3 linked regions of the Daphnia pulex genome follow. The protein of the gene in region 1 purifies or fractionates together with the protein of each later gene. This does not show direct contact. Links are inferred from orthologs where the notes say so. Each region holds a gene or a part of one and is shown in the gene's direction. Other genes may lie near its edges.

Region 1 (10,198 bases):
TTTTCTTGCAGTGTGATCGATTTGTCGAATTTCACGCTCAGTATGGCCGATACTATAGAACAAGAATACCGAAATTTGGAAGAGATTTGAAGTATCATTTTCAGTCATGCAACCTTTACATAGTTGGTACCGGGTATGCAATAAGATTAGAGTACTCTTAGTTGCTCTAGTTAACTGTAAATCTTCTTTAGGCCAGACGTGTATCGCTTAAATTTAGAAGAAGGGAGGTTTCTTAATTCATTTCAAACAGAAGCAACCACTCTTAACGTTTGTGATATGAATCCCTTTCATCAGCTGTTCGTCTGTGGTTCCAAAGAAGGAAAAATAGAGGCATGGGATCCTCGTGCAAGGAATAGAGTGGGAGTTCTCGATTGTGCTTTACACTCTGTGACACCTGACACTCAGTAAATGGTTTTTTTAACGTTTTTAGATCACATTTTACCATGTTTTTAATTATAGAGTTACCGGTGTCCCTCAAGTCACGGCTGTCAAGTTCCGTGATGCACTGACATTGGGAGTTGGAACTTCAACAGGCCAGATCTTACTTTATGATTTGCGATCCAATCGTCCGACTAAAGTGAAAGACCACCGATATGGACTTCCAATAAAAACAGTAGATTTTCATCACCTGAATCATGATTTGGTAGCGTCAATGGATTCCAGAATCGTTCGATTGTGGGATAGAAATACGGTAAATAAAATTAAAAAATAATAATCAAAATGCTATAATACTTTTAATGTCAATAGGGTGAACCTTACGTTTCTGTTGAAGCAACATCAGATTTGAACGATTTATGTTTGGTACCTTCAAGTGGTATGATGTTCATGGCTACGGAAGACAAAAAAATGCTCACTTATTACATACCTAATCTTGGACCGGCTCCTCGTTGGTGTAGTTTCCTTGACTCGTTGACAGAAGAATTAGAGGAGGGAGAAACTGCTGCCGTCTATGACGATTACAAATTCTTGACAGTAGATGAACTACATGACCTCGGATTCGGTCACCTTATTGGTATTTTCCAAATTTTATTAGAATTCTATTCTTCTTTTTAACACGCCTTTTCCTTTATAGGGACCAATCTATTGCGTGCCTACATGCACGGTTATTTTATCGACATGCGACTATATAGGAAAGCCAAATCCATTGTTGAACCTTTATCACTTACCCGCTACAAACAGAATAAAGTAAAGGAAACAATTGACCAACAGCGGTCCAGCAGAGTTCAATTGCAGGTAATACACCTAAAATTCAAATTTGGATCAAAAACAATAATTGTTTGTTTTTTAGAAACTTCCTGCGATTAACCGTGAGCTTGCACTTAAGCTTATGGAGGATAGTAAGGCGGTTGATGATGCTGAAGCAGTTGGAAAGAAGAGTGGTGCAAAATTACTTATGAGCTCCAACATTCTAAATGATTCGCGTTTCAAAGATCTTTTCGTAAACCCGAACTTCCAGATAGACAAATCTTCTGAAGAATTCAGGTAATATTTATTTGTGATGTAGAACAAAACGACTTGGTAGTGTAAACAATGCGTTCCTATTCCGTCAACAGATTACTAAATCCTGCAGTTTCACGTTTGGACAAAATCCGAGAAAAACGTATCAAAAAGGCTCTCATCGAAGACCAGTTCGAGCCCGTCGAGGTAGGAATAAAAAATAGCTCCTTACAAAATGACACAATAAAGTAATTAATTCATTGCAGGGAACGAGCACGGAAAATCCACTTAATGATGATGAATTTTCAGATAGTGAAAGAAAGGGTCGCAAACGGACAATTTCGGTAATACAAATACTTCATACCGCATGTTAATGGTAAACGTTTCTTATACTGTATACAATTTTTCCCCAACAGACCGATGACAGCAGCAGTGATTCTGACGACGCAAGTCTTCGAAATGAAATCAAGTTACAGCATAAGATTATAAGAGAAGAGAAGTTTCAACAGAGAAAATTGGAAAGACAACAAGAGAAGCTGGAAGGTCCTAAGTTCATGGCATTAAAACCTGGGCAAAAATTCCAAGGGTTCCGTTCAACCACTGATCAACCTAAGAAGAAATTGGCCAAGTATCAATAATTATCTTCGATTTTGTTGTGTTTACATTTTAATGTTGTATGCTATTTCAATTTGACTCAGGGCTTCGCTTGGTGAGCGAATTCATTTAGAAGAAGATGTAGACAAAGTTAAGCTTGCTCCATCAGCTGGTTCTAGAGAAATGACTTTCACGCTCCCACAGGTATTCATCATAATTTAGTTTTTTTTTTTTTTTTTCAAATTACGGATTAATTAAAATTTGACCATTTAGAGTGAACGCGTCACAAAAGCTAGAGAACAAGCCGAACAACATCATGAAGAGCGACGTAAAATTATTCGATCTGCCAATCACTTGAGAACACGGGGTCGTGGGCGGGGTGGTCGCGGAAGATTTTGATTTATTTGTTGATTAAGTGAAATAAACAAGACATTTCGTGTTTACGGTGTTTAAACCTTATCTTTATTATTATTCCTACAGTTGAGTCGAAGATGTTTTGACTCGAATGTACAATCGCTATATCAATCGGTTTTTGGGTGTCTAAACCAATAAATGTAGATGATGGTAGGGAGAGCTCAAAGATTGCACCGTCATCCTCCCTTCTACATTGCATAAAATTTTTCTGTAATCGACACATCCTATTCTTTTGGCTTGTAGATGATTTTTCTGCTCTTAACAACACTCCACTTGTGGCGTTTCCAGTAGTAAGCTACTGAAATCAAGAAGGAGAATAGCATCAAAGCTTTCAAAGCCATCTTCTTGCGATCATCATGTTCGGGCTCTGCTGACCACTTGAGGAAGGTGGACACATCTTTAGCCATTTGACTGGCAGTAGCTGGCGTACCATCCGCGTATTCAATCACCTTAAGATCAAAGATATGCTTGTTAGAATCGCTTTGTTGAAAAAGTGAACAGAAATCGTACCTCATTGTAAAGAGCTTGAGCCATACCAATAGCGCCTCCAGGGAAATAAGGATTATAATAAAGACCATCACGTAATGTGATACCAGCTGGTGGATCGGTATAGCCAGTTAACAGAGAGAATAAATAATCCTCTCCGCCGTGACGAGCAGCGGTAATGTAACTTAGGTCTGGTGGAAGGGCACCGTTGTTGGCGCTCCTGGCAGCTTCTTCGTTAGCATATGGGCTCGGAAATCTATCAGAAAGCTTACCAGGGCGTTGGAACATGTTACCATCTTCATTGGGCCCATCAGTAACCTACAATGGATATTACTTTGAACTACATTGGAAAATTGACAGTTAAACCATTAATACAGACCTGAATGCCAGCAGCTTCCTCCTTGGCTTCATCCTCTGTATGGCTGACACCAATCAAGTTGCGATAAGCCAAATACTTCATGCTGTGGCATGCAGAGCAGACTTGTTTGTAGACTTCATAACCACGACGTATGCTATTTCCAAAAATAGTTATGTACATTCAGAACAACAAATCACTTTAAAATTAAGCATACCTAGCATGATCCAGAGATGAAAAGAGCCCATTGTGACTCCATGGAAAACTGGGAGCATGTAACTCCAGGCCTGAAGCCTTTACCGACTGGTCTAAAGTGTATGCCAAACCAGCTGCTCCACCAATTAGAGACCCAATTACCGCTAATCCCTAAGAAAATTATGCAATATTCTGAGATTTGATAACCTAAAACACTTCCTTGTATTATTTCTTACCGCTTTTTTGCCGGCCGAGAGCTCACGCAACGTAGACAGATGGGATTGCTAAAACCAAGATTCGAACGTTATTTCCCTATGTTGGATTAAATGAATATTATAGTATGCTTAAAGCATTCCAAACCTGGATAACGGCATTGTTTTGGACTCTAAGAAGCCCAGATTTCACGAATTTACCAGCAACTCCGGCCATCTTTGACGAAATTATCGTAACGGGTCGTCCAAGTCAAATGCAACGTTGAAACATCAATTAATTCCATATATTACGTAAAAGACTTTTCAAGTTAATCATTTATTTTTGATTAAATAAATTTGCATGACTATATATTATCAATAACTGATTAATAAATTTAATCACTCTAAGTTTACTACCGTAAAATTTTAATTTTAAGAAAATGAGATCACCAATCGATTTATTTCGTTAGCTTTTCAAACCACAAATGACATTATTTATTATTTATATTTGGTTTTTTGGTATTATTCATCGATCTGTAATTTAAAAAATTCTTATCACTTCCATATTTCATTGGAATAATTCAAGAAATCATTTTTGGAAAAAATTTTGTGTCACAATCACATGCTATGAAAATGAAAAAAAAAACTTGGGGGAAAGTAGCATTAAACAAAATACAAATTAGATACTGGATAGTCAAATAATCTACGGGAATAATAAGTTGCTTTTCTTTTCAGGTTGAAAAAAGTTAAATGGATTAAAACAAATCACACTCTACCTCCAATTTAGCAACAAGACACGAAACATCCCGAGGCACTTTCGTCAACAGGCTGCAGTTGCTGAAATTTCGAACAAATCTGTCAACGTCGCCCCTAACAACGGAGTTGAGTTCTCTTGTGTAGCTTCGTTTCTTTTTGGAAATCATTCAATTTTCGATCACCGGTGCGACGGATTCCGATTAGACGAAAATACTTATCCGAATTCATCGAGTTGGGACGGAAATTGTGTAGCCAATTAAGGCTGAATTTCGAAAATGAGTAAAGCTATGCAGTTACTAGGCAGTAAAATCAGTCTCATCTCCAAGTCGGAGATCCGTTACGAAGGGATCCTATTCACACTGAATCCCAATGAGTCAACTTTGGCTTTGGCTAAAGGTAAGCATTTCTTTTGTGATGTGATGTATTTTATACGAAACATTTTACTCGAAAACTGTTTCTTTTCATTTCATGTCAACTATGCATAGTAACTGTTGACATGACTAATTTAAATAGTTGGCATCTATTTTGGTTGCAGTGTTTGGTAGGGTGACTTGTCAGTTGTGTCATTGTACTTGTTTTTAATTATAGCTAGGGAATAATTCTCCTTATTCAGTAAGAAGTACTGTGAATGTCAGCATGTTCTAATCATCTTTGTTATTCTAGTGCGTATGTTTGGAACGGAAAACCGGCCTACAGATAACCCTGTTGCTGCAAGAGATGAGGTGTTTGAGTTTATCATCTTCAGGGGTCAGGATATTAAAGATATTCGTCTTTGTGAACCACCTGCACCTCAACCTCCCATACCAGGCACTCTTCCCTATGATCCAGCCATTGTTCAGGTAAATTTATCACTTTGATTGACGATGACATGATGGAAGTTTTAAAAAAATATTCTCATGTTTGTGTGCAGCATTCAGTACCAGGTGTTGGATCACTTGGTGCAACTGGACTGCAGCAACCAACTGGACTTGCTGGAAGTATCATGAGGCCCAACTTTGGACCGTTGGGTGGTCTGAATCCTTATCCAGTAATTCTTGCTTGCATGTTTTAATTTTAGATTTGATGTGTAATCAAACCTTTTTATAGAATCTTGATGGTGGAGCTTCTGGTGGCCCTATGGGACAGCTAGGAAACCTGATGGCGCCCAGCCTGAGTGCAGGACTTGGAGGTAAAACTTTGTCTTCATTAGTGTTTTGTAGCCAACTTGATTTGTTTGTTAAAAGGTTTAACTGGTGGACTTGGACTGAGTGGAGCCGCCGCTGTTGCTGCAGCCAGTGAGTTACCCCTTTCCCCTCATGGGGATATGCCCCCTCACCCGGATCATTTATCCGAGGGAGACCAAGGTACAAGGCCAAAAGACATTGCCTACATAAATTGTCTTTGCTTAGTGCATGACTAATTTTGCCTGCTTCATTCCCACTCACTTGCATGCGTATATATAGCTGCTTCTACATTTGCATGAACCCGCAATTGTAACTTGTTAACTGCTTTGGCTTTGTCCTTTGGTGGCGTTGGTCTGTAGTTCTATTCGGTTGTAACACCTGTCTAATCTTGTTTATTGGAAATACCTTAGATTTGTTGGGTGGAGTTGGCAGGTCCAACAACTCAACGCCTGTTGGTGGCGCTTCGGGGACGAGTCAATCGAGGAAATCACCATTGCTAGGTGAGAAAGAGGATCAACGAACTAGCAGCCGTGGATCAGGTGGTGGTGGTCGGTCTCAACAGAACGATAGAGGCCAGCAACAGCGGGGAGGAAATGGAAGATCAAATTCTCGTGGCCGTGCACGTGGTAACAACGCTGGTGGAGGTCAGAATACTGATCGCAGAGATGGCGGTCGATCTCAGGGTGGACATCCACAAGGATCTTTCAATCGTTTTGCTAGCAACTTTAACAATCGCTCCAAGGGACCCCTGAAGTTCGACGAAGATTATGACTTTGAATCTGCAAACGTCAAGGTAACTATTTTGTGTAGTTTCTGAAGGTGTTCGTGCGCTTCATGGTCTTATGATTTAAATTAGTTTGAGGAACTGAAAACCAAAATGGGCAAGATGAAAATTGGTGGTGATACAGTACTTGTATTGAGCGGCCCTCCTGAGGCAGACAAGAAAGAGAAGACAGAAGGCGAGTCTGCTGACACCGTTGCAGTTTCTGCCGATGGCGAAGCTTCAACAGAAGCTTTGGTTTCAGTCTCACCCAATGACGATGATAAGGGCTCCGAGTCTCCAGAGAAACCCATCTGCTACGACAAAACGCGCTCGTTCTTCGATTCAATCAGCTGCGAGGCTGTGGAGCGCAGCAAAGGGTAAGAAATCATAATTTTATGGGTTTGATGGACAGGTGACTTATAATATTATATTTTAAGTAGCAATACTCAACGGACAGATTGGCGCCAGGAGCGAAAATTAAACGCCGAGACATTCGGGTTACCTTTCAATCAACGCCGAGGTGGATTTAATCGTGGAGGCGGTGGTGGCCGAGGATATTACGGTGGGCGTGGTGGTGGCGGCGGAGGTGGAGGTTATTATCGCCAGCAGAATAACGATGGCTATCAACAGCGCGACGGTGGCTATCAGCAACGTGAAGGTGGTTATCAACGTGATGGCGGATATCAGAACCGAGATGTAGGATATCAACAGCGTGATGGCGGCTTTCAGCAAAGAGATGGAAGTTTTCAGCAAAGAGATGGAGGCTATCAGCAAAGAGATGGAGGCTATCAGCAACGCAGTGGCTATCGGGGATCAGGTGGTTACCGAGGTGGCCGTGGTGGACGAGGTAACGGTGGAGGAAATCGCGACTCCGAAAGTACTGGTCAGCCCAGAGGTGGTTACAACCAAAGGAGGAATTGGGTAAGTGATGATACTGCAACAATTAATTCAAAATTTTAATTTTTTTCTTTCTTTAATAGCAACAACAGGAGAATCGAGCGTAGAAAATGTACGAAAGCCGGTTATTGATGCGCTACTTTGAAGCATGGGGAATGATTCCGTTGAACATTTGATGAGAAATATGGGGGGCAATTGGTGTGAGAGGTTCTGTTTGGTAGAGTTGGAAAACGGCGTCGGATTAGTGATTGAGTGGTGCGAGTGGGTGTACAGTTTCTTTTGGTTTGTTTTCTCGCCGTCGGTGTGAAGTGATCGTAACTCTTGTTGGGCCCTCCTCTCTTCGCGTACGGAGCATTCCTGCTACAAGTGTTTCATCGGGTCCGTCAGTAACCTGGTGAGGATTGTTTTTGGGAGGATTGAGATCCTTTGGATTTAACACCTAGAACAGAAGGAAGTTGATATGTTCGTTTTTCTTTTGTTTTTTTCTCACCTGTTATTTCCTTAATTATTGTAGAGACTTTTGACTTTGTTTTCTTTTCTCGTCTATTCATATTTTGCATCTGTCCCCCCAGTTCACTCAATTTATGTCTCCCAGCTGCCCCCTTTACATTGTCCCAATTTCCCCTTCCAATTTTTCTGAATGAATGTGCGTGGGATGTAAGTCATGTAATTGAACAAGTTGGTCAGATTTTCGGATTTGCAGAGATGTGTGCAACGTTTGGAACCCGCGAGTGATTTTACACGACGTGGCAAACCGTAATTTTCGTATTGTACGTGACTCGCGCTTCGTCCATACTTTGTTTTGGTATACAAAATTCCACGACTTGTGAAGAACACCGACAAAATGGCACTATCGTCTTCTGTATTGTTTATGTGCTCCTATGTCTTGCGGGCATGTACGACTAGCTCGTAAAAGCAAAAGTACAGTAAATAAAATCGTCGTGTAATCAGTTATTTTGTTATGACTTGACTTGTTATTTGGTTTATGAACAAATTGATGCGAAATTTAAACATTCCATTGCTGAATCGACCAAAACTGACGTTTTCGGTATCGAGTAAGGTTGTTGCGATTATTTATGGTACTAATGGCAGTCCTGAATGACGCAAGAGTTGTGTCGTTTGCTGCATTCGATTTCTTCAGTTCCGTACTGAATTCCGTAATAAATTGTGATCCACCTAATTCCCTCAAAGTAAAATTAAATGTAAAAATTAAGTTTTCGTTATAATTACCATTTGAAACAGACAGAACGTAAGACGTTGGCCAAATAACAAGGAAATTGTCGTATAAATGTGGGTTGTATCCTCCTACACAATCTAACTGCGAAACCGGATTCCATCCAGCGGAGCCGAATGGAGTTGAGAAAATTATTGCTTTAGGTTTTCCTTTTAAGCCAGGACAGTAGCATTCATTAAAATATTTTCGAACGTCTTTATTGAATGATATGGTCAATGAATTGCTGCCTAAAATTTGGCCTTGAATGCAGTGGGATAAAAAGCAAAGGGTCAGGCCGTTGTATCTCGTCCAGTCAACTCCACGTGAGACATCCAGCACCTTTTGCTTCAATTCAAAATTGGTCAGGTCCTCAGCTATTTCAACTTGGTAACCGAGAGAGAGAAATGTTTCTCTTAATGTCCGGCAATCGGCTTCATTTCCTTGGTAATTTGGTACGTCGAGTTCGACCCTCTACCCTCGCAATAAAAGATAAGGGGAAAATAAATGAACAATTAGTCTCATCCTATTTTATCTCTATTTAGATTAATTGAGTTAGTTGTTTCCCAACGTGTTTTAATATCGGATCCCGTTCTCTGTAAATGTTTTTCTGGTGTACAATCAGGCAGTAACCGGTAGATGAGCTTGGCTGGAGTCTGTTGTTTCCAATCGTAGAATGCCTCAATATACTTTGATTGAAGCATTCGTCCCTCATTGATGAAGTCCCTGATCGTCCGCTTTGTAGCTGTAAACTTAAGTTTACTAGATCATTTCTGCCGATTCGGCCGAGAGCAATTGTCAATTTCGAACAATCATTGGTAGAGATAATGCCGCTCACTATCCACTGTAAAACGACGACTTCAATCACTTGGAATTCATTTGTTGCGTCCATGCTGTTTATGAAACTTTTTAACAAATGTGCGTCGTAACGATCCAGCTGGTCCAGAATACAAAAAATTCCAACTCTAAACGGAAATAGATGACCTCTAGGAATGTACTCGATCGGCGTTGAAACGGAATAACCTATTAATCGCAAGAGTTTCCATTGCTTTAGCTGAAACAGTGCTTCAATCACAGCACTAGGATTCATCTCAGCCGATTGAATGGCCAAATGGATCGCAACCCTTTTCCACTCAGGGCAGCCTCGTTCGTGAAGCTTGATTAATCGCTGCATTTGTTCGAGCGCTACCAATTCATCGCCTTTCTTAAAAAGCAAAAAACTGAAAGCTATGTGATCATACCAGTCCATTGAGTCTTCGATGCTGCGAATAAACGACACAGAGAGAAATGATTTTGCCATGTTCTTTAGACTAAACAAAGTAACACACTGAAACCTGAACGGCTGCATCGTCTATCTAGCAATTAGGGGAATCCCATTCACAATGGCTAGAAAATTCCCCGTCCGATAACAAACCTGGAGCAAAACAAGGCCGTTCACTTGAACTTTTGACTTTTTAGTTAGAGGGATTTCGTTAGACAGGCCAACTTTGGATGCTTGATATTTTTATGAGGGCAATCGATTTTTGTTTTACAATAAGAAAAAATTAAATTATTTTACAAATTCGTGAAAATTGACCTTGGACTTCAAAGATTAGGCAACAGTGCAACGCAGCAAGCGAAAATGGTAAAAACAAAACATTTGTTTTGCATAGAAATTGTGAGAATACGCATTACTCATTAACCATTTGGTCGAATAACATTTCCTAAAAGAGAAATAAAAATCATTGAATGTTTTTT
Region 2 (9,919 bases), on another chromosome or scaffold:
TTTTTCTCCCTTCCACAACCAGGTGAAAAATTCAGATGTCAGAATGCCTTTTAAACTGAGATTGAAGAAAAGCAAGCAGTACAATGTTGTGACCAAAACAGTTTTTGTTATTTGTGTAGAACTTCTTGATAATAGTATTGTGGAATGCACTCTTTCAGCAGATAGTCTTGGCTATGATTGCCTCGATAATGTTTGTCAACGTCTGGGGCTCAACCAGGTATCAAATTTTTAAAGAGCAAAAGTTGAAATATTCACTAATTTATTGCCTGTTTACAGCCTGAATTTTTTGGATTACGCTATGTCAGTCAAAAGTCATACCCAAGGTTTATTAGCCCATGATATTTTTCTAAAAAAATATGTTGCTAACATACACCTTTTTTTTAATGCAGAGTACGTTGGGTTGAACTTGATCGTCCACTCAAGAAACAACTGGATAAGCATGCCCAAGAGGCCTATCTGTATTTGAGAATCATGTACTATGTAAATGATGTCAGCCTTTTGGAGGATGAAATGACTCGGTATTTCATAACATCCTGCTACATTGTGAAATTGAATAAGTATTCATATTCAAAATCTAGGTACCACTATTTCCTGCAGCTGAAATCAGATGTCATGGAAGGACGGTTGAGATGTAGCTATAATGAGGCTGTTGTTCTTGCTGGTTACAGACTTCAAGGTATTGATCTATTACAGAGAAATCCTTTTTTCTCAACAACTAACTAACTAAAAAAAAATTATTTTAGCCGAATTTGGGGATCATGATCCTGAGCGTCATACTTTACAATACTTGAAAGAATTCGTCCTTGTTCCCAAAGTAAATAATTTTCCTAAAATATGTTTTTTTTAGTCGGTAATTTTATTAATTACAAATTTTCCGTGTAGCATCTTGTGACTAACGAAAGTCAGTTGGATGCTGTAACCGAAGCGGTAGCTGCGCAACATTCTAAACTACTTGGATTTCCTCAACCTGTAGCCGAATGCTGGTACATTGTGGAAGCCCAACATCTTGACGGTTACGGCCAGGAACGATTTTTAGCAAAGGTTTTTACCCCAATTTTCAAATTCAAGTTTAGAGATTTGAATGCACGCTTTATAAACTTTCTCCGTTTGTATTTTCAGGAAGAACCAGCAGGCGAGGCACTGGTTGCTACGTCGTTGCAAGGAATTTTGGTGATGCGTAACAATACGGAGCGAGTTGTTTTTTACAGGTAGCGCTGTCGATCGTGTTGTTTTCTCTTTACGGTATTTTCAAGTTTTCAAACTTGCTAGGTGGGACGATATAACAAACCTGCTGAATCAAAAGAGAATGTTTGGTATCGAATGCCAACGTAGCGAAGAAAATGTTAACTTTTATTTCGATGATCCTGAAGCAGCCCGTTATGTCTGGAAATTAGCTGTTCTTCAAGTAGGGTCTACTTAAATTACTCGATATTTTAATGAAAACATTCTAATTGTGATCCGGTTTGCTTTTTAGCATACCTTCTACAAACAAACGTTGTTAACTCTCCAGTCCCTGCAATCCCAAGCGACCGAAGACAAAGATATAGACATGGGGATAGCTGGTTTAAACTTGGAATCAAACAGTGCCACTGTCAACAGCAATCTGGTCCCATCCACTTCAATGTTTGAATCTGCAGAGCCCAGGAGTTCCAGTGCAATGGCCGAATATCGCATTGATAGCTTAGGAAGCGTTCGAGCCCTACCACACTCAATTTCATCACCTACTTTAACAGTTTTAAATCCTGCTCAAGCACAAACGCATTTGTTAGCTGGCACTGCGGGCAGTGGTGGAGGATTCGCATCAGGTGCTGGATCACTTGCTGCCTCTCAACAAAATTTACGCGCTTTATTGCCGGCTTACCGTCCTGCACCTGATTATGAAACTGCCGTTCGAGTCAAGTACGGCGACGATATCGCGCAATTGCTTCTCAATCCGACTCCTCCAGTCCAGCAACCAGTACAACAACCAGCAGCTGTAGCTGTTCAGCCATCCGCTCCTGCACCTTTTCAGACACAGCAACAACAGAGTGCCCAACAGCAGATGCAGATGATGAAAATGTACAAACCCCCTCCGCCTTACCCTTATAGCAAAGTTGGCAGTAATAGTAGCCCAGACTTGGCAGTGGCCGTTATTAATGGAGTGGCACCGGTCAATTCAGGATCGATGAGCCATTTACCAGTTACTCAAGCCCAGACAGAAGTTTCTGCCACATTGCGAAACGGCGAGCCCATCTATCAAAATATTCCCTTACGCCAGCCCGGAAGCCAGCCGAATCTCTCTCCGTCCACATCCGCACAAACTGCTTCCCAACCCAGGAGAAAATGGGGTTTGCCTGTCCGTAGCTCTGCTCGTTCTGCTGTCATCAATCGCGTCCAGACCGATTCGCCTTCGTCATCCCCAGCCGCCAAGCGAAGTACCAATGATTCAACGTCCAGTTCTGCTTCCCACTCTCATCACTTGGTTTCACCCGCCAGAGCTGCCCCTGCTGATGCAACTCTTGTCAAGGATCATTTGGTAATTCAACAAATTTTCAGCAGTAATTAGTTGAAATTATAGTGAAGAGGATTTATTTTGCCATTTTCTTACAAAAACGACCATCTAGCGCCAAGAAATGGAATCCCGATTGGCTGATGGCCAACTTCTCCTGGAATTTGAACTGATTCCCAGACGAAAAGCCGGTGCGGATTTTAGCATGGCTGCTCACCCGGATAACGCATCTCGTAACCAGTATGGACAGTTTTCAGTAAATTATTGCGTTGTATTAGTAATTAAACCATTGGTTGTTTCTTTTAGGTATCAAGACGTTTTGCCCTACGAGGAGAATAGGGTTAAATTGACTCCCAGCCGAGAAAACCGAACAGGCTACATCAATGCATCACACATCTCCGCTGCTGTTGGTTCGGCTCAACGCTTCTACATTGCGGCTCAAGGTCCACTGCCATCCACCGTAACTGACTTTTGGCAGATGGTATGGCAAAGTGACGTCTACGTTGTCGTTATGCTAGCCGACACGACGTCAAGCAGCAATAACGGTGGACAGCAAACCCCAACTCACAACACAAAGTCGGTCAGCTCTTTGCGAAGCCACGTCAGCAATAGCAGCATGAATGGTTACAGCGGTTTTATTTATTGGCCGCAACAAGATGCTGCCACATTAGAATTTGGCGAAGTACTAATTGCATTGCTCATGGAATACCTAGAGTATTGTTTTTATTTGTTGCTTTTTTGTTGTTGTTGTGGTTTAGTACAAAATCACGCGGCAGGTTGGCAAACTATCCGGCCGTCAATCCATCACAAAGTTAGATGTAACTCACCTGCCAACAGCTCAACAACGCAGCATTTGGCATCTTCAATACTCTGACTGGGCTGATCACGGTTGCCCCAAAGATGTGACCTCTTTCCTTAGTAAGACAAATTTGATTGGATATTTTGTTTACAATGTTTGGGGTTAACATAAAAATAATTGATTTCAGGTTTTTTGGAGGAGATGGACACAGTGCGAAGACATTCCGTGTCTGATGTTCCACTGGGTAAGAACCGAAACACGCCAGTGTTGGTTCATTGCGGAGCGGGTGTTGGTCGAACAGGTGTCACCATCGCTTGCGACGTTTTACTTACATCACTCGATCACAATGTTGTGAGTATCATTCAAATCTGCCTAATCAAATCATTGGGCTAATGTTCTTTCTATAATCAACAGGTCGTCGACGTCCCGAAACTTATTAATCACCTGCGCCAGCAAAGGATGCTTATGGTGCAGACCGTTGCCCAGTATCGTTCAATATATGCCCTACTACTTGCTTACCTTGGCCGCTCTCGACTCATTTGATCTTGCAATGATATATTTAAAACACACACACACACACGATGCATTCGGCCTTTGATTCAATTGTTGAAAGATGAACAAGCCAATCAACATGTTCCTCCATTTTTGTGATACTTAGGCAATTCATATGATCACCAACCATTATTTGCTTGCTTTTTTTCATAACATACCACTATTAATGAATTGTGGGAAAGCTATTATACAATTTGTAAAGAGTGTTTCAATCACATGCGTTTCTTCAATTTCTATTGCATTTCTACTAACTCCACGATGTGCAGCAATTTTATAGATTATTAACTCACGCCTAGTCCCTATGACGTGCCTTTTTTTATTGATAGAGAATTAAATAATAAACGATATTTTTAAACAACACCTGATCTTCATTCATTTAATAAATAATAAAAATTATCGAATTAATATAATTGAAATTCCCTAGATGCTCTACAATTTGGCGACGTGGAACTCAATATACCTATCCTCCCGCCTCCCCCCTTAAGCCAGGCACGAGTAAGCCCTGAAGGGATGTTTCATTACCTCTAACCGCCACCAGGAGGACTAAACAGAGACTTCGACTACTATCTCTACTCAGATCCCTTTCGACTCTCGCGCAAAATAGATAGACATTGTTCCCGAACATTGACACACTTGTTAATTATTTTCCAATTTAGTCAACATCTTCGTAAGGTTGGTATATTTTCTTCTCTTAATTTCTTCATTTTGAGTGATGTCAATTGTTGAATATTATCCAAGTTTTGTTTTGCTTGCTCTAACTTGTTTGTCACGACCCTCCCCCTATCTGTGGACTGACTCACTCACAAACAGTCGCTGCTTTGCTTTCGATGCGTAGAGCGCCATAGTGAACACTGTTTCTCAGATAAACCAATTCTTTATCCGTTGACATCCTTGCTCGTGTTTAAAAACTTGTCTATTATATCTCAACTACTGGTCTACTAGGTCAGTTTGTCATTTGCTGAGATTTATTTTATTCGAAATTGAATGCTTCAGTGTTACACGATCAAAAGTCTTTGTGTATATGGACGCCGATTCTGTTGACTTACCGCCATTGACAGATTCGATTTTTCTCATTTTATTTCAGGTTTAGTAAGCGACGTTTGTATGTGCACAGAAGACTGAAGCCATAGTTCCTGCTTCTTTGGTTTCACGTTATTTTCGTTTGCAGAAATCGTTCGCCTTCGTTGGAGAAACTTAAGTTCAAGTGATCGTTGTTGAAGAAGGAATTCGGCATTTTGCTCGAAAGTTTTGTTAAGTAAGAAGAAAAAGAAAAGAAGAGAAAACCATGGCAGAAGCCGTTGCTAGTCAGCCAAGCTTAGTGGCCAACAATCATGCCCTTTCGCCGATGAGACCCAGTCCTCAGCCGCTAATTGCGAAGCAGTAAGTCTTAAAAATCATGTGTTCTTTGTTCGTATTTCATGACTGTTTTTGTTAATATTTTAGAGAGAATAACTCTGACAATTTCTGGAAGTCTCAGTTGAAGATCCCACCCAAGGATCGTAGAAAACAGACTAGCGTAATATTCTTTCATTCAAACATCTATGAGAGTTGGGGGTTAAATTTTTGGTTTAATTTCAGGATGTTACCAACACTAAGGGAACAAGTTTTGAAGACTTTTGTCTGAAGCGTGAATTGTTGATGGGTATCTTTGAAAAGGGATGGGAGACACCTTCACCCATTCAAGAGGTTGGAATTCCTATGGCTCTGACTGGGCGTAATATCCTGGCTCGTGCTAAGAATGGAACTGGAAAAACAGGTGCTTATTGTATACCAGTATTGGAACAAGTAGTTCCGTCTGAGCAACACATCCAAGGTACTGACAAGTTTAAGTTTTTCTTACAGTTCTGGGCCTAATTTTTTTTTCTTTGTAGCATTAATTGTTGTGCCAACACGTGAACTGGCATTGCAAACAAGCCAAATCTGCATTGAACTAGCTAAACATTTGGATATTCGTATCATGGTGACTACTGGTGGTACTGACCTGAAAGATGACATTATGAGGATCTTTGGAAAAGGTATTCATTATTCCTTGTTTACTTCCATGCAAGTTTTAACAATCATTGTTTCTTCCAGTTCATGTTGTGATTGCCACTCCTGGTCGTGTTTTGGATCTGATGGAAAAGAAGATTGCGGTAATGGACCGTTGTAAGGTCCTTGTTTTGGATGAGGTATGTGGGAATTATTAAGAGTTCTGTTAGACGATTGTTCTTATTCTTTTGTGTAACTAGGCTGACAAACTGCTCTCTCAAGACTTCATGGGAATGTTGGATCGTATAATTTCGTTCCTACCAGCCAAGCGCCAAATTTTGCTTTATTCGGCAACTTTCCCTGTAACTGTCGAGGAGTTTATGGTAGGTTTATTGGTTCTTGTAATTTGGTTCTTGATTTAACAATGATTGTATCCACAGAGGAAACACATTGATAACCCATATGAAATCAATTTGATGGAAGAACTAACACTGAAAGGTGTCACGCAATACTACGCTTTTGTCCAAGAACGGCAAAAAGTGCACTGCCTCAATACGCTGTTTTCTAAAGTAAGTAAAGGTTTATTTAGATTTTCAGTATAAGACTGATGAGTTATTGTTGGATTCCCCTTCTCTCGTCTGAGAGAAAATCAACACCTGATTTTACTTGAATTAATTTTAACTGCTGTGTTTTAAAGTCACGATATTAATATCTGTGTTGATATTATAGTTGCAGATCAATCAAAGTATTATCTTCTGCAACTCCACTCAACGTGTGGAACTTTTGGCTAAGAAGATCACTGAGCTGGGCTACTCGTGCTATTACATTCATGCCCGTATGCAGCAAGCTCACAGAAACCGCGTCTTCCATGATTTCCGTAATGGGCTGTGCCGTAACCTCGTGTGCTCCGGTAAGATTTGCTTCATCTTTGTAATGTTAAGTGCTCGACTGTTATGATGAACTTTTTGTTGGATTCCCCTTCTTTCGTCTGAAAGAAAATCAACATCTGATTCATTTAATAATGTGAAGCCAAGAAGAGAAAAGGATGTTGAAACTAATCTTTTGCGTTTTTATAACAGATTTGTTCACTCGTGGTATTGACATTCAAGCTGTGAACGTGGTCATCAACTTCGACTTTCCCAAGATGGCTGAAACTTACCTGCACAGGATTGGTCGTTCGGGTCGGTTTGGACACCTGGGTATTGCTATCAATCTGATTACTTATGAAGATCGTTTCGCCCTGCATCGCATTGAGAGTGAACTTAGCACTGAAATCAAGCCCATTCCTAAGGTTAGTCTTGGATATCTCGTGCAAGTATTCATTGTATTTACATTGTTTTATTTTTTCAATGAAGGTCATTGACAAATCCCTCTACGTGGCCGAGTTCCAAGAAGATTCCGAGGAGCAATCAGGAAAGTAAAAAGGCGAGAGAATGTCTTCGAAAAGCGCATGCATCACACAACGTCATGATAGGACACAAAAAAAAATTGAGAAAAAAGAAAAGAAAATGAATCCTGTAAGTGAAATTTATGAAAGGTCGTTCACTGGGACCAATGTATTGAAGATCAGAATTAATGAAAAGCACTCATTAGCAATTGGAGGAGTGCTGCAGCATGTAGGGAAAAAAACCATTGTACAAGAGTAAAAACAAGGATAACTTTAAGCATGCGCTATCGAAAGACTGTTGTAAATATGTAAATTCTCACGGTGGCGAAGAGCCAGTTTTTTTTTCAGTTTAGGAGAAAAGTTTTTGTTTTGTTTTTTTGGGTACAATGTTTTGCGTGAATGGATGTGTGAACGTCGAAGGCTAAAGCGTTAGGGCGGCAGGTTCCGTAAAAGATGAGATTCCGTCAGGGAGTAAGTATGTGAAATGAAGTTTGGGGGGGTCAGCTTGGTACACTTTGCATTGCTTTTGGAATGGAAGAATCTCGCTCCCAAAAGCAGTCCACTGGTGATGTTACAATGGCTCCCTCGTCGAGGAAAGTTTCACCGATATAAGACTTGAAAGCCGCCCGTTACATTTTATATACATAATCTAGCCGACCCACTACCTGAATGTGAATTGTATATTTGTTAACATGTATCGTACCAAAATTCTCGCCCAACTGCGTTTGGATGGAATTTTTCGTACTCCTCTTAATACCGATTGTGACTCTGTGCTCGCCGAATTGCACGAGCTTTATATCCCGAACGCGACAGTTTGCTGATGAACATTACCGAACGTGACCTGATAGAATGAGCGAGATCTCAAGTGTCATTATGCACTTCTTCCCATCTGTATACCCTCAAGAAGTCGACTTCAAAACAACAAAAAAAAACATAAAAATTCTTAGTTTCACCTCCAGAAGAAACAAAAAAAAAATTTTTCTTTTCAATTTCAAGTGTTTGCCGTTTAAACAAATTGTCGAAATTATTAATAAACGCTTTCTGAAATTGAATTCATTTTCTTAATTTTTCTGTGAATTTACTATTACAATTTATAATGATAAAGTATGTGTAATGAACTTTCATTGTAGTACCTTGGGCGGGTTTAGTTTTCTTTAAAAATCAATAACGATAACTAGATCAAGTAAGAAAATGTAAACAATTTTGTATAATGTTTTGGTTAAAATTTGTGCACTTGGCTATTGCTTTCTTTTTAACAACTTAATTAAGAAAGAAAATAAATGTCGTGAAATCCATTTTATTATACTTCACAAAAAATACTCTAGGATCTAAGATGATGGTACTTCTGATTTTTTAGATTTGCCCAACAAGATGGCATCGCGAAACAAATTACAATATAACCGAACTGCTGTTGGGGAATCGTCATTACCCGGTACTGGATAAGTTATCAAATTTGGATTGCTGTTTGAGTCCACAATTCCTATAGTTGGAATACACATTTTGGCTGCATCCCTGACAGCAGTGTGTTCCTGAATGCACACATGTAAACAAGTAAGCTTGAGATTTAAGTCTGTAAGATTTGTACAAATACCTGCATCTGGGGGTTCAATGTGGAAACCATAATGATAAGATCAGGTAATCGGGTTACACCTTTATAAATCTTTTCAGAATTTGTCAAGAGATGGAAATCCCATTCTCTTGCATGAGCATATTCCCCTGCTTCTTTTGCTGCATTTTCTACTGTTAAAGTGTGTTGTGGATAGTGAGATACAAATAAAATTATTCCTCCTTTATAGGCTATATGGGCTGTGAAGTTGAGTGCATCTTGTAACAGTTCAGTTGTTTTATCCAAATCAAAGATGATGTGACCTAGTCGAGATCCAAAAATGTAGGGTTTCATATTGGGATGCAGTGTTCCATCCTTGTGTCCATAGTGCACTTTTGCATCAAACAAATCCTTCAGTCTGAACAGATTCCTTACACCAAAATAATCAGGAAATCGGAGAGGATTTGTGATTTCCTTCAATTCTACAAGTAAAACAAGGTATAATTTTAAGATTTGCAATTTTCCAAATTATCATACCCCTCTCTTTAAGCTCAGTTGGTTGATTAACTTTCAAAGCTGTTGCGTTCTGGCAGTGAGAAGTATCACTTGTGAGTGAACATGTTTGTGTTAAGCACCTACCAAATTTCCAGGAGAAACCTAGAAAAAACAAACAAGAAAGGATTGGAAAGGACAGTACTTTGCAAAATAAATTTAAGTCGAGCTGTACGATTTGTAATTGTTCTAATCATCGTGAAAGCAGAAAAAAAATTCGCCGCACTACTCCTTCAGAAGTTAATAGCAGACGATGTTGTTGCACCCGTTGTTGCTAGGTTACGACAGAATGAGATAAAAACGCGATGAAAAATTTCGATTAACTAAATCGAAGATGTAGAAATGTAGAATATTTGTAATAGAATATTGTAAAATAATCTCCTAATTTCATGTTGAGGATTTAACAAATATTATTAATAAAATTAATGAACTAATTACAGCTGGTACGAAATTGAAAATCATGTATTTGAATGAGACAATGTTATGCACATAAAATTTCCAGAAAACTTATTTTGTCCAGCTGACTTTAGGAATATCAAAATGCTCTGTTAGACTGTCAAGATGTCTGTTAAATTCCTCAACACGTTGCTTGTGAGTCTTAGAGGCCTTTTCTAGAATTCGCTTTTT
Region 3 (10,195 bases), on another chromosome or scaffold:
CATTTCTTAAATTCATTTTCTATTTCAGGTTAAAAGATGTCTCGTCTGAAAAACTTTTTTAAGCGAGGAAATAACAATCAAAGTGACTCAGGACCTTCTGATATTAGTGGTCCAGTGAGTGTTTCTCATAATGTTCATGTTGCCCTCAACCATCAAACAGGTGCTATTGAAGGACTCCCTGAAGCCTGGCTAAAGTTGGTTAATAAAGAATTGACGTAAGTAGCGTTTTGCCAACTTTTTTTTTTAAATGCCTGTGTATGCCTATTAATTTGTTGAAACAATTTAGTCAGGGAGAATTAAATGAGAATCCAGATGCCGTCCTTCAAGCAGTTCAGTATTTCATGTTTTCTCAGAAACAAGGCCACAAAAATTTACCTTTCAAGGTAAATTAACCTCCAATAATTATTTATTGCAATAATTCAAATTAATTGTGTTCTGTCTATTAAGATTTTGGCTACCAGAGAGATAATTGAAAAAGAATCTATGGAAATTGAAAACATGGGTAAGTTTTGAACCACTTTACGCTTTGTTACTTTCTGAATTCAAAAAGTGAACAGCTGAGTGCAACATTCTCGTCAATAAGGATCAAGCAAAGTTGCGACTGCTATGCTTGCTAGTGCTGCCGTGAATCTCGGTATGGCTTCTATGACTTTACCTAGCAAACAGCCCCAAACACCTCCCGCTTTACCCGCCCGTTCACCTGTTGGTATTACAACACCGACAACGTCTCCTCGGCCGTCCCTATTCCCTACGGGCCATGTTCCACCGCCCCTGCCTGCTGTTCCGCCTAAAGGTAGCCGTGTATCCCTGGAATCTACAAATCTTGATGACTGTAAGTGTTCCTCGACGCCAAGCTTTCATTTTATGAATCTGTGAGCTTTATCGATTTTTTTTCTTTGATTTTCTTTGATTTTTTTTATTGAATGATCCTAATAATATTTTTATTTTGTGTCAGGCGGACCTAATTTCAACAAAACTGTCGTCGTTAAAGACGTAAATGATATTTTTAATTTTATTTCTATCTTCTTATATAAAATGTGCTGAAGCAATTTTCAAATTTAAGGGTAATTTAAAGGAAGCAAAGAATGAACAAGAAGATTTCGATGGAGGAAGCCCACTTCTTATTCGCAAAAAAGAAATTAAAATGGATGGTATGATGTCTGATGATGAAGTTGATTCCGCATTAAGAAAGCTTTGCAAATGTGGCAATCCCTTTATGCGTTATGTTCGACTAAAAGAAGTTGGCGCTGGGTATGTGCTATTTAAATAATATTTATTCATTCGATACATTTAAACAATATTCTAAATTTTTAGAGCGTCTGGCACGGTTTACATTGCCAATGATTCAGAGTCAGAAGGGAAAAATGAACGTGTTGCCATCAAAGAGATTGATTTGTCAAAGCAACCTAAGCGCGAAATGATTCTGAATGAAATTTTCGTTATGCGTGACATCATTCATCCAAATCTAGTCAATTTTCTTGATGCGTATTACGACGAAGATTTCCTTTATGTAAGTGCAATGTGCTAAAAATATTTGATCGCCAATGATTAAAGAATTGAAATGCCGTAGGTGGTAATGGAACTTCTAGAAGGAGGACCATTAACTGATGTCGTAACAGAAACGGTGCTCAAAGAAGGACAGATTGCTGCTGTCTGCCGCGAAGTTCTTCTTGGAATAACGTACTTACATAGCAAAGTAAGTGTTGGAGATCTTATGATTCCAAACAAAGCCCTTAACAATTTTTCTGCTTGTTTTTAACCAGGGTATTATCCATCGAGATATCAAATCTGACAATGTTTTGCTTGGCATGGATGGAACAGTTAAAGTGACAGATTTTGGGTTTTGCGCAAATATCCAAGGCGATGAGAAGCGCCAAACGATGGTGGGAACTCCTTATTGGATGGCCCCAGAGGTAATTTACATTTCGTTTAGGATTTAAAATGACAATGTCTAAGTATATTTTAAAATCAAATAGGTTGTAACCAAAAAGAAGTACGGTAAGAAGATAGATATATGGTCGCTTGGTATCATGGCCATCGAAATGATAGACGGAGAGCCACCCTACCTAAAAGAAACTCAACTGAGAGCTTTGTTCTTGATCGCAACAAATGGTCGACCTCAAATTCCGTCATGGAACAAATTGAGTCCCGAGTTTCAAAATTTCTTAGAGCGGTGCTTAGAAGTAGATGCAGACAAGCGAGCTTCCAGCGAGGAATTACTCAAGCATCCCTTTCTCCTCCGTGCTTCTGATTTGCGAACTCTTAAAGGAAATATTCAAGCTGCTCAGCAAATCTTGAAGAAAACGATGTGAGAGAAACTGCCTTTACCCTAGCTGTTAAATGACAAAGTCCCTTTAAACGAAATAGGGTATAAACTTGCGGGACCAAAACCGAGTGCCATACCATTTTTAACGAAAATGATCCTTACAAAGATTTTTGGGTGTTCCATTTTGTTTTTTAACTTCGGACAATCATTTGACTAAAGTATCTTATTTGTTTTAAATTTCAAGCTGTCGCTACCCCCCAAAACTAAGGTTTTCATGGACCACTCTTTCTTTCCCTAGTCTTGTTCATCAAGCCTTAACTTTCACAGTATTTTATGTTCCGTAAGACGGATTGATTGTCGCTTGGCTTTTATCCTTATGTGCATTAAATTGATGCAATATACAACTGTGAACCTTCGTTCCAATTCGATTTTAATTTAAATAAGCGCATCAAATTGAATAGATTGACTAGACGACCAGATTGTTGAATAACTCGAAATTCAGAGAAAAATTATTCTAAAATTTCCGTGTATTTAATTCAAAACTTGGTAATTTCTGTTTAATCGTATTTATACATCACAACGAAATATTTTTTTAAATAGAGGCAAATAGAGATTGAAGAAACCATGGCGCCCAAGATCCTGTATATCACTTACGTTTTGCACAACAGACAACTGAGAGATCGTGCGACAAAACGAGCCCAGGTGATTATGGTAACTACTTTCGGATTTCATGTGGGCTGTTGGCTAAGATGGAACATAAAGTCTGAGTATTTTCTTGCAATTGTGCTGCCAGATTACTTATGTACTCCTTTGCCTCGCAAAGCTCTTTCTTCAGATTATCTATATCGCTGTTACAAGCCTTCAATGCAACTGATTTTTGTTCTAGTTGGTATCTCAAAGAGGTTACTTCCTCAACGGAGTTGCGACAATTGCAAGTTGGGCGTAAATTGTTTGGGGCAGCAACATCGGGGAGAATATAGTCACAGTCGTCCTTAGTTAGGTCTACAACTTCGTGGTTTGCACTATCGCGAGTGACTCGAGCAGTTGAAGCTTGGGCTTGGGCTTGAGCAGCTGGTTTTCCCGAATCCAAAATGTTCTTCTGGTGATGATTAATTAGATTCAGCAATAAAGAACTCAGATTAGTGTCCTGAGCGGTGGGGTTCTTTTTAAGCATCAGGTCTCGGATGTAAGTATCGATGTTGTGCAGATTTTGAGATATCTAAAGAAAAACCAAATCGTTAAAAATCGCAAAGAAATACTGAGGCAACTACAGTAATAAATTACTAGTCCATTTTGAGGAGCTGGCGATGATGGTTCCATCATTTCCATTCGAGATACGACCTCCGTATTTTTTGGCAATACAGGACAGGAAGGGTTTGCAGATTTTGTTTGTGCTGCAACAGTTGGTGAAGTTTTAGCAGGTTCACCTTTTTTCAGAATCAAAGTCTTGGCAGCAGGTTGTAGCATTTTTAATGGTTCAGCTACGTTGGTTTTGAGGGCTGGATCTGTTGAAGAAAAAGCTTTACACTTAATAGTCGGAGTCGAGTTTCCCGCGAGTTTTGGTTGTTGCTGGAGTGTCGTGGAAGAAGGAGGAGCTTGGATTTGCTGTACAATCTTTCCAACATTCTTTTGTACGATGTGAGGCGGAGTATTTAATGATGACTTTAGCGTTATCACGGTTCTCGAAGTTTTATCAAATGCATCTTTTCTCACAATCAAAATCTTGGAGGGAAGTTTCACGGTGTTTTTCAATGGTTCAGTTACTCTTTTAGGAGCATTGCTATCTCTGCTTTTTGGCGCAATTTTGACAGGCGTCGATTTTCTTCCTGAACCTTGACCGATTTGACTTAACGATAAAAGCTGCAGAAATTCGTTCTTTGAAACAGATGGTGCCAAAGGGGTAACTTTATCCGTAGACGCAACAACCAAATTTGCCTCGACGTGTTGTTGTTGAGCGGATGGTCCGGAAATTATCAGATGACCGTTGGATACTGTTGGTGAAATGCTTGATACAGGCGGTAGAGTATTCGACATATCTTTAACTTCGGTTGTGATGGAGTCATTTCCTGATGTGTTGAACTGTTTACTAATTTCACTTATTCGCGTAAACGACGTGTCGAAATGATCCTCAGCAGAGGGTAGTTGCATATCGATTGATTCAATTTGATTTGCATTTGGTTCAGGCAGCACCTGATTTTTAAACATTGTTATTATTTGGTGAAGTTCTAGGTAACAAAAAATTGTCTATACCTTGTTTTTTTTATTATTCTTTCTTAATAAAAGAGCTGCTTCTCTCTCTGCTATTTTAATTTTTGCTTCTCTTTTTGCCTTTTTTATGGCAAGTCTCTTTTTCTTCCATTTCTTTTCTCGAATTTTTACCTCGATGTCTTTGGCTTTTTTCTCTGCTTTCGTGGCTTTTTCAATAGCCTTCTCTTTTTTCTTTTTAAGTATTGGTAGACGACGACTACGCCTCTGACTCAATAATCTTTTTTTTTTAACTATACATGAATTTACAACATTGTAGTCAAAGCAAAGGTTGAAAAAGGTGATAATGACTTAGACACTATCGTACCTGAAACAGTTGTCTTCCATTGGTAAGCAGTTGGTGGCACTGTTGACTGACAGTAACTGTGCTCTTCTGTGGGGGGTGGAACAGGTATGATTTTTGGAATCGGAATGTTTAAACTTGGCACCCAATCCACACCTACATCAGGTTTACCTATATAGATATTGAAATATGATCAAATTATTTTCACACATATTCTATCTAACATACCTGATACAAAATGTTTTGAGCAAACTAAAATTGGTTCTCTTTCCGTATCAGCTTCAGTAAGACCCAATGCTTTCAACCACAAAGAACGTCTCTTTTGGATTAATTGTTTTGTCAATTCACACATAGGCCCAGCTTTTACCTTTGGGATACTTGGCATACTAAAGTATTTTTCATTTCCGTTACCCGATGTAACAGATGTGCAATATGGACTCAGAAAACATCTGTTACGAGGTCCCATCTTAAAGACGATTGAATATTAACTAAATATTCCTTTTATTGTTTTCACAGTTTCGGAGGGAGTTTGAGTTCAGTTTAAGTTGTAAACAAAAACCCACAACAATTAATCGATAGTGGAAAAAACTCGATAATCGATATATTTCCTCGTGGCTTCTGCTTTTGCCAGAAGATTCTTGTCTTAACTTGCAGTCTTGCTCTTGCACCACAGTCCCTTGCAGAATTATTATTTAATTCGCTGATAAAGTTCATCTTCGTTCGCTCTATTCATTCTTTAAAATCTCAATTTGTAAGACTCTGTTAAAGTTCAAAATCTCATTCCCATAATGTCATTTTCGGTGATAAATGTCGTTCGAAACGTTTCACGCCATGCGTTACCGGCGTCCATGAGGTCTATCCTGTCGAAACCCATTACCAGGTCTTTGTGGTACATGTCTAATCCCACAAATCAATTTGTCCCAACAAAACTTTCTCCAGCATTCAAACATACTCCCCTGAGCCCTTCCTGCCCATGTGGAGAATGCAGAGGAGTTCATACAAGAGGTAATACATTTTAACCATTTCACGTCACATTTAAATACAGCATAATATATGTTGCATCATAGGGGACAAAGAGCTGATTGAGTTCCTCTCAGAGGAAATTGCTGCTGAGAAGAAGGGAATGAGCAAAGCCAGGCCTGTCGCTAACTTGGATGGATTTGATGTTAAACACAATGGTTCAGAGATAGTATTGTCTAAGAAATTTAATGATGAACAGTGAGTAAATCTTTATGGGACAATTCTAAATTGAAACTTGTGGCTTAATTTTATTCATTAAACAGAATTGAGATAACAGTTAACGTCAACCATTCTGTTGATGCTGACATCAGTGAGGAAGTTGACAACAAAGCTGACAATCCTCCCCAGGCTGAAATGAAATCAAAACCACACTTTGAAGTCAAACTAATGAAGGGAAATCAAGTAACCAGATTTGCCTGCAGTTACATTCAAGATGCAGGAGAGCCTGTTGAAGATGCCCCAAGTAAGTGTTAATTGTATTTGAATAGCCAACAATATAAATAACACTCGATTTTTTCAGATGACATTTTCACTATTGATGAACTTGCAGTATATGAGGACAAACATAATGATCAGACTTATGCTGTCGCTGGAGACATTCTTGATGGGGTATATTTTAAAGTCAACAATATTTTAACCAAATTAAACTGATATTTCACATTTTCGTTATAGTACATGTACGACCTTCTGATGAATCTGCTCGAAGAACGAGGAGTATCCAACGAATTTGCTGAAAAGCTGAGCGATCTAGCTACCAAGCGGGAACACCATCTATTTATTAATTTGTTAGAGAGCCTTCAGTCTTTTGTCCAAGGCAAATGAAAGGTTTAGAATAGTTTTGAGATGAAAAATAAAAAGCTATGTAGTCATTTTGTTTAAAATGCTGATTTATTATTTATGGTTTTCCAAAACAATGGTTATTTAGAACCATCAGGGGTCTTAAATTCATTTTCAGTCCCCATTACTTCTTTTTCTATTTCTTTAAGGTCAATATTCTGTTCCTGGATTGCTTTCTAAAACAGAAAAGAGTAGATAAACATCTATAAAAGACAGAAATGTTGGACCAAAATTAACTTACCCTAACACATTCACGATACACCTTAAAGAAAGGACCACATGAGTCTGTTGAATGATCCCCTCTTAAGAATTTTTCTGTGAACCATGTGTTGAAACATGCATCATAATTTTGCTTCAATTGGCTACAGGCTTCACTTACACTATTCATGGTACAAATTTAACCTAGAAAAATAAAAATACAATAATCAATTAACATACTTTAAGAGCTTTGTGTGTCCCACACTTGTACCTTTGAACTGTAGATGAAGATTGGGCAGGATAAGCAGAGATCATTAACAAATTAGAGCACTTTTCTTGATTGAAAATTTATTCAACACGGTTGTAATTTCAATTAAAACCGGTCCTCAAAACATATTATGTACTAGGTAGTTTACAGCATTATCAAATCATGTGTACTTTGATTCGATCGTCTGCTCCATTGAGATAGCCTAGCGGCGAAAGAAAGTAACTTTTGTAGCAGACAATATTTTGCATCATTTCTCATTACCATAATCCCATTCCCTTCCTGCAATTCCTTGAATTTGGACGAGCTCACATGTGGACACTATTTATTACAGCTGTTGTAAATTATAAGAAATACTTTTCTTTGCCACAAGAGAATTGAAATACTGAATTAAAGAATGAGCTCCAATAAAACTTCCAAATCAATGTCCAAGTCCGGTTCTGAAGTTCTTAAACAAGAAGATGTTGTTCTTGCTGTTCTAATCGCTGATAGTTTTTCAATACGCTTCGCACCTGTAACTGATTCAAAACCGAAGGTGAAGATCCTACAATTAGATTTTTTAACGTTGAGGACACATATAACTGTTTAACTATTATTACATCAGGCACTTCTTCCGCTGGTCAATAGGCCCATGATTGACTATGCCTTGGAATCTCTACTTCTTAGTGGAGTACAGAAAACCTTTGTTTACTGTGTTGCACATGCTGATCAAATTCGTCAGTACCTCAAAGAATCTAAATGGATGAGATCTGTGTCTCCTATGTCCATTGAAGTTATTTCTCAAAGCCCTGATGACTGTCGATCTCTTGGAGATTCCCTTCGAGACATAGATGGAAAGTCATTGATAAGAGGAGACTTTATATTGATGTCTGCTGATGTCATTTCTAATGTACAGCTCATACCCATATTAGAAGAGCACAGGTAAATTGTAACATCTCTATAAAGTTGTAATCAAATCCATATCAAGTTTTTATTTTGATTTCATGCACTCTTTAATAGAGAAAAGAGGAAAACTGATAAAGGGATTGTCATGACACACATTTTTAAGAAATCTTTCCCGGGTCATCGATCCCGTTCTGCAGAAGAAGAACTCGTCTTAGCCATCAATCCCACCAACGGTCGTATTCTCAATTACCAGCAAACAACAAACCTGAAGAAGCTCAGTTTTCCTTTGGTGAGTTTCTGCTTTCAGTGTTTCGAAACCAACGATTCTTATTGATTTTCATATCAAATCTACAGGAAATGTTTAAAGAGCACGGTCTTGTTGATTTGCGCTATGATTTGGTTGATACGCACATTTCTATTTGTTCTCCCGTGGTTTTGCCGCTTTTTTCCGACAATTTCGATTACCAAACGTGGGGAGATTTTGTCCGAGGTATTCTCATCAACGAAGAAATTCTTAATAATACCATCTACTACCATCAGTTGGAAGGATCATACGCGGCACATGTTTCGAACGTTCCCATGTATGATGCTGTGAGGTAAGGAACACTTTCCAACATTTTAAATTCTACTCATCAAGTAACGAAAATGTTTATTTTTACAGCAAAGATGTTATTCAACGATGGGCATTTCCGCTTGTTCCCGATTTGAATCGGAGTGAAACAACTCCTCGACACACTTTATCACGTCACAATGTTTACAAGCAGCCTGGTGTCACCTTGGCCAAGTACACAATAACCTTTTCTCTTTTTTATTTCCATGTTACCATGATAACACCCTATTTGCGAAATAGGGAAAGTGTTTTGGAAAGGGACGTGGCGGTAGGAGAAAACTCTAAAATAGGAGAACGCACATTCGTCACCCAGTCCGTCATTGGCAGCCGTTGCACAATCGGAAACGACGTGTACATCAATAATGCTTATATTTGGGACGATGTTAACATCAAGGTTAGACCCAGCGAAAATTTTATTTTTGATAAATAATCAAACAATTTGCTTTTAATTAGAACAACTGCCACATTGAAGTAGCTCTCATCGCCGATGGTGTTGTGTTAAATGAAGGAGTCAAAATCGGCCGAGGCTGTGTCATTGGACCCGGAGTAGTTTTAGCTGCCGGTACCAAAATCCCTGACAATACTCGCCTCATGGCCCATCCTCCCAAATGTGATAACGACTTTGAAACATCGGACGAAGAAGATGGTAATGCAAACTTGAATACGTATGTCTATTAATTTAAATATAGTTACATTGGTATTTTTGTTTCCCCTTTTAGATAAGGTAGCTAAACCGTTTAGTGCCGATAGTGTCGCTTACGTTTATCAACGACCCGTCGAAGAAGATTCCGATGCAGAGTCTTTGATTGATGAATTATGGGGCTTGGACATTGATGAAGATTCAGAAAGTGAAGAAGATGAAGACGAAGACGAAGCTGATAACGACGAAGATGAAGAACACGAAGAAGAAGTGGACGTGGGCGACCTGCCAGAGGATATGAATGCTAGATGTAAGTTGCCTATGTGAACCTAAAAAATTAATTTACTAATTTGTTGAATTTTTCTATAGCATTTTATAATGAAGTCTTGGAGAGTCTTCAAAGAGGCTACGAAGAAAAAATCAAGGGTGACAACTTGGTTCTTGAAATTAACTCGTCCAAATACGCTTATAACGTTACCATGAAAGAGGTGAACATGCTCGTTATCAAAGCTATGCTTTCGTTGCCATCCGTCATGACTAAGGTAAACTTTAACGGCGAATCTTTTTGTATTAGATGTTTGATTGAAATTTGGTTGGCTTTTACAGAAGGCCGCCACTGGCACCAACGAAGATTGGGTCGCTCTAAGGCCGATATTGCAGCACTTTCTTCCTGTCATGAGAAATTACTTGAAAAACAATCAGTCGATGTTGGATTCTCTCGAGGCTCTGGAAGAATTTGGAGTTCATAACTCCCATTTTGTGAAATCTATTTGTAAAGTTCTCCATTTTTTGTACGGCGAGGACGTGTTGAGTGAGGACGCAATTTTGGAGTGGTACACCAATCCACCGAACGATCCCAGTGCATTGAAAACTATCCGGAAAACTGTACGTCTTAATTTCTTGAAAAGTTGACTTGATCCTTGGCC

Evidence for each region.
Region 2: the proteins of protein LSM14 homolog B-like (region 1) and ATP-dependent RNA helicase me31b-like purify together in Homo sapiens (affinity purification with mass spectrometry; 4 studies listed by BioGRID and IntAct, with this or other methods). This does not show direct contact. The link is inferred for Daphnia pulex from reciprocal best matches to the Homo sapiens genes LSM14A and DDX6.
Region 3: the proteins of protein LSM14 homolog B-like (region 1) and complement component 1 Q subcomponent-binding protein, mitochondrial-like purify together in Homo sapiens (affinity purification with mass spectrometry; 3 studies listed by BioGRID and IntAct, with this or other methods). This does not show direct contact. The link is inferred for Daphnia pulex from reciprocal best matches to the Homo sapiens genes LSM14A and C1QBP.

The regions. Positions count from the first base shown.
Region 1 is NC_060022.1:6,099,536-6,109,733, reverse strand, and holds protein LSM14 homolog B-like, read left to right. Parts: upstream 1-4,546; 5' UTR 4,547-4,703; coding exon 4,704-4,824; intron 4,825-5,091; coding exon 5,092-5,267; intron 5,268-5,338; coding exon 5,339-5,455; intron 5,456-5,514; coding exon 5,515-5,596; intron 5,597-5,651; coding exon 5,652-5,771; intron 5,772-6,001; coding exon 6,002-6,384; intron 6,385-6,447; coding exon 6,448-6,731; intron 6,732-6,791; coding exon 6,792-7,275; intron 7,276-7,334; coding exon 7,335-7,358; 3' UTR 7,359-8,205; downstream 8,206-10,198. Other genes in the region: nucleolar protein 10-like, read left to right, coding at 1-133, 192-404, 460-691, 748-1,012, 1,073-1,233, 1,289-1,482, 1,554-1,644, 1,704-1,781 and 3 more; cytochrome c1, heme protein, mitochondrial-like, read right to left, coding at 2,670-2,894, 2,956-3,249, 3,311-3,443, 3,504-3,652, 3,718-3,765, 3,842-3,910; uncharacterized protein LOC124196543, read right to left, coding at 8,258-8,427, 8,482-8,935, 9,033-9,809. UniProt on the Homo sapiens protein: Essential for formation of P-bodies, cytoplasmic structures that provide storage sites for translationally inactive mRNAs and protect them from degradation. Acts as a repressor of mRNA translation. May play a role in mitotic spindle assembly.
Region 2 is NC_060018.1:12,395,504-12,405,422, reverse strand, and holds ATP-dependent RNA helicase me31b-like, read left to right. Parts: upstream 1-5,124; coding exon 5,125-5,219; intron 5,220-5,282; coding exon 5,283-5,355; intron 5,356-5,417; coding exon 5,418-5,652; intron 5,653-5,710; coding exon 5,711-5,854; intron 5,855-5,912; coding exon 5,913-6,007; intron 6,008-6,067; coding exon 6,068-6,190; intron 6,191-6,247; coding exon 6,248-6,376; intron 6,377-6,536; coding exon 6,537-6,717; intron 6,718-6,886; coding exon 6,887-7,098; intron 7,099-7,162; coding exon 7,163-7,228; downstream 7,229-9,919. Other genes in the region: tyrosine-protein phosphatase non-receptor type 14-like, read left to right, coding at 44-217, 277-323, 390-518, 579-676, 744-814, 883-1,041, 1,120-1,208, 1,270-1,405 and 5 more; 28S ribosomal protein S2, mitochondrial-like, read right to left, coding at 8,523-8,723, 8,786-9,222, 9,278-9,326, 9,380-9,397, 9,818-9,919.
Region 3 is NC_060026.1:13,816,487-13,826,681, forward strand, and holds complement component 1 Q subcomponent-binding protein, mitochondrial-like, read left to right. Parts: upstream 1-4,456; 5' UTR 4,457-4,516; coding exon of another isoform or gene 4,517-4,764; 5' UTR 4,765-4,838; coding exon of another isoform or gene 4,839-4,985; 5' UTR 4,986-5,042; coding exon of another isoform or gene 5,043-5,280; 5' UTR 5,281-5,602; coding exon 5,603-5,819; intron 5,820-5,881; coding exon 5,882-6,032; intron 6,033-6,097; coding exon 6,098-6,297; intron 6,298-6,354; coding exon 6,355-6,443; intron 6,444-6,506; coding exon 6,507-6,656; 3' UTR 6,657-6,715; downstream 6,716-10,195. Other genes in the region: serine/threonine-protein kinase PAK 2-like, read left to right, coding at 37-215, 287-383, 448-502, 584-832, 956-993, 1,064-1,251, 1,315-1,510, 1,571-1,696 and 2 more; uncharacterized protein LOC124203752, read right to left, coding at 2,982-3,485, 3,551-4,456, 4,517-4,764, 4,839-4,985, 5,043-5,280; translation initiation factor eIF-2B subunit epsilon-like, read left to right, coding at 7,532-7,669, 7,739-8,055, 8,134-8,308, 8,374-8,615, 8,681-8,803, 8,870-9,023, 9,083-9,275, 9,349-9,579 and 2 more.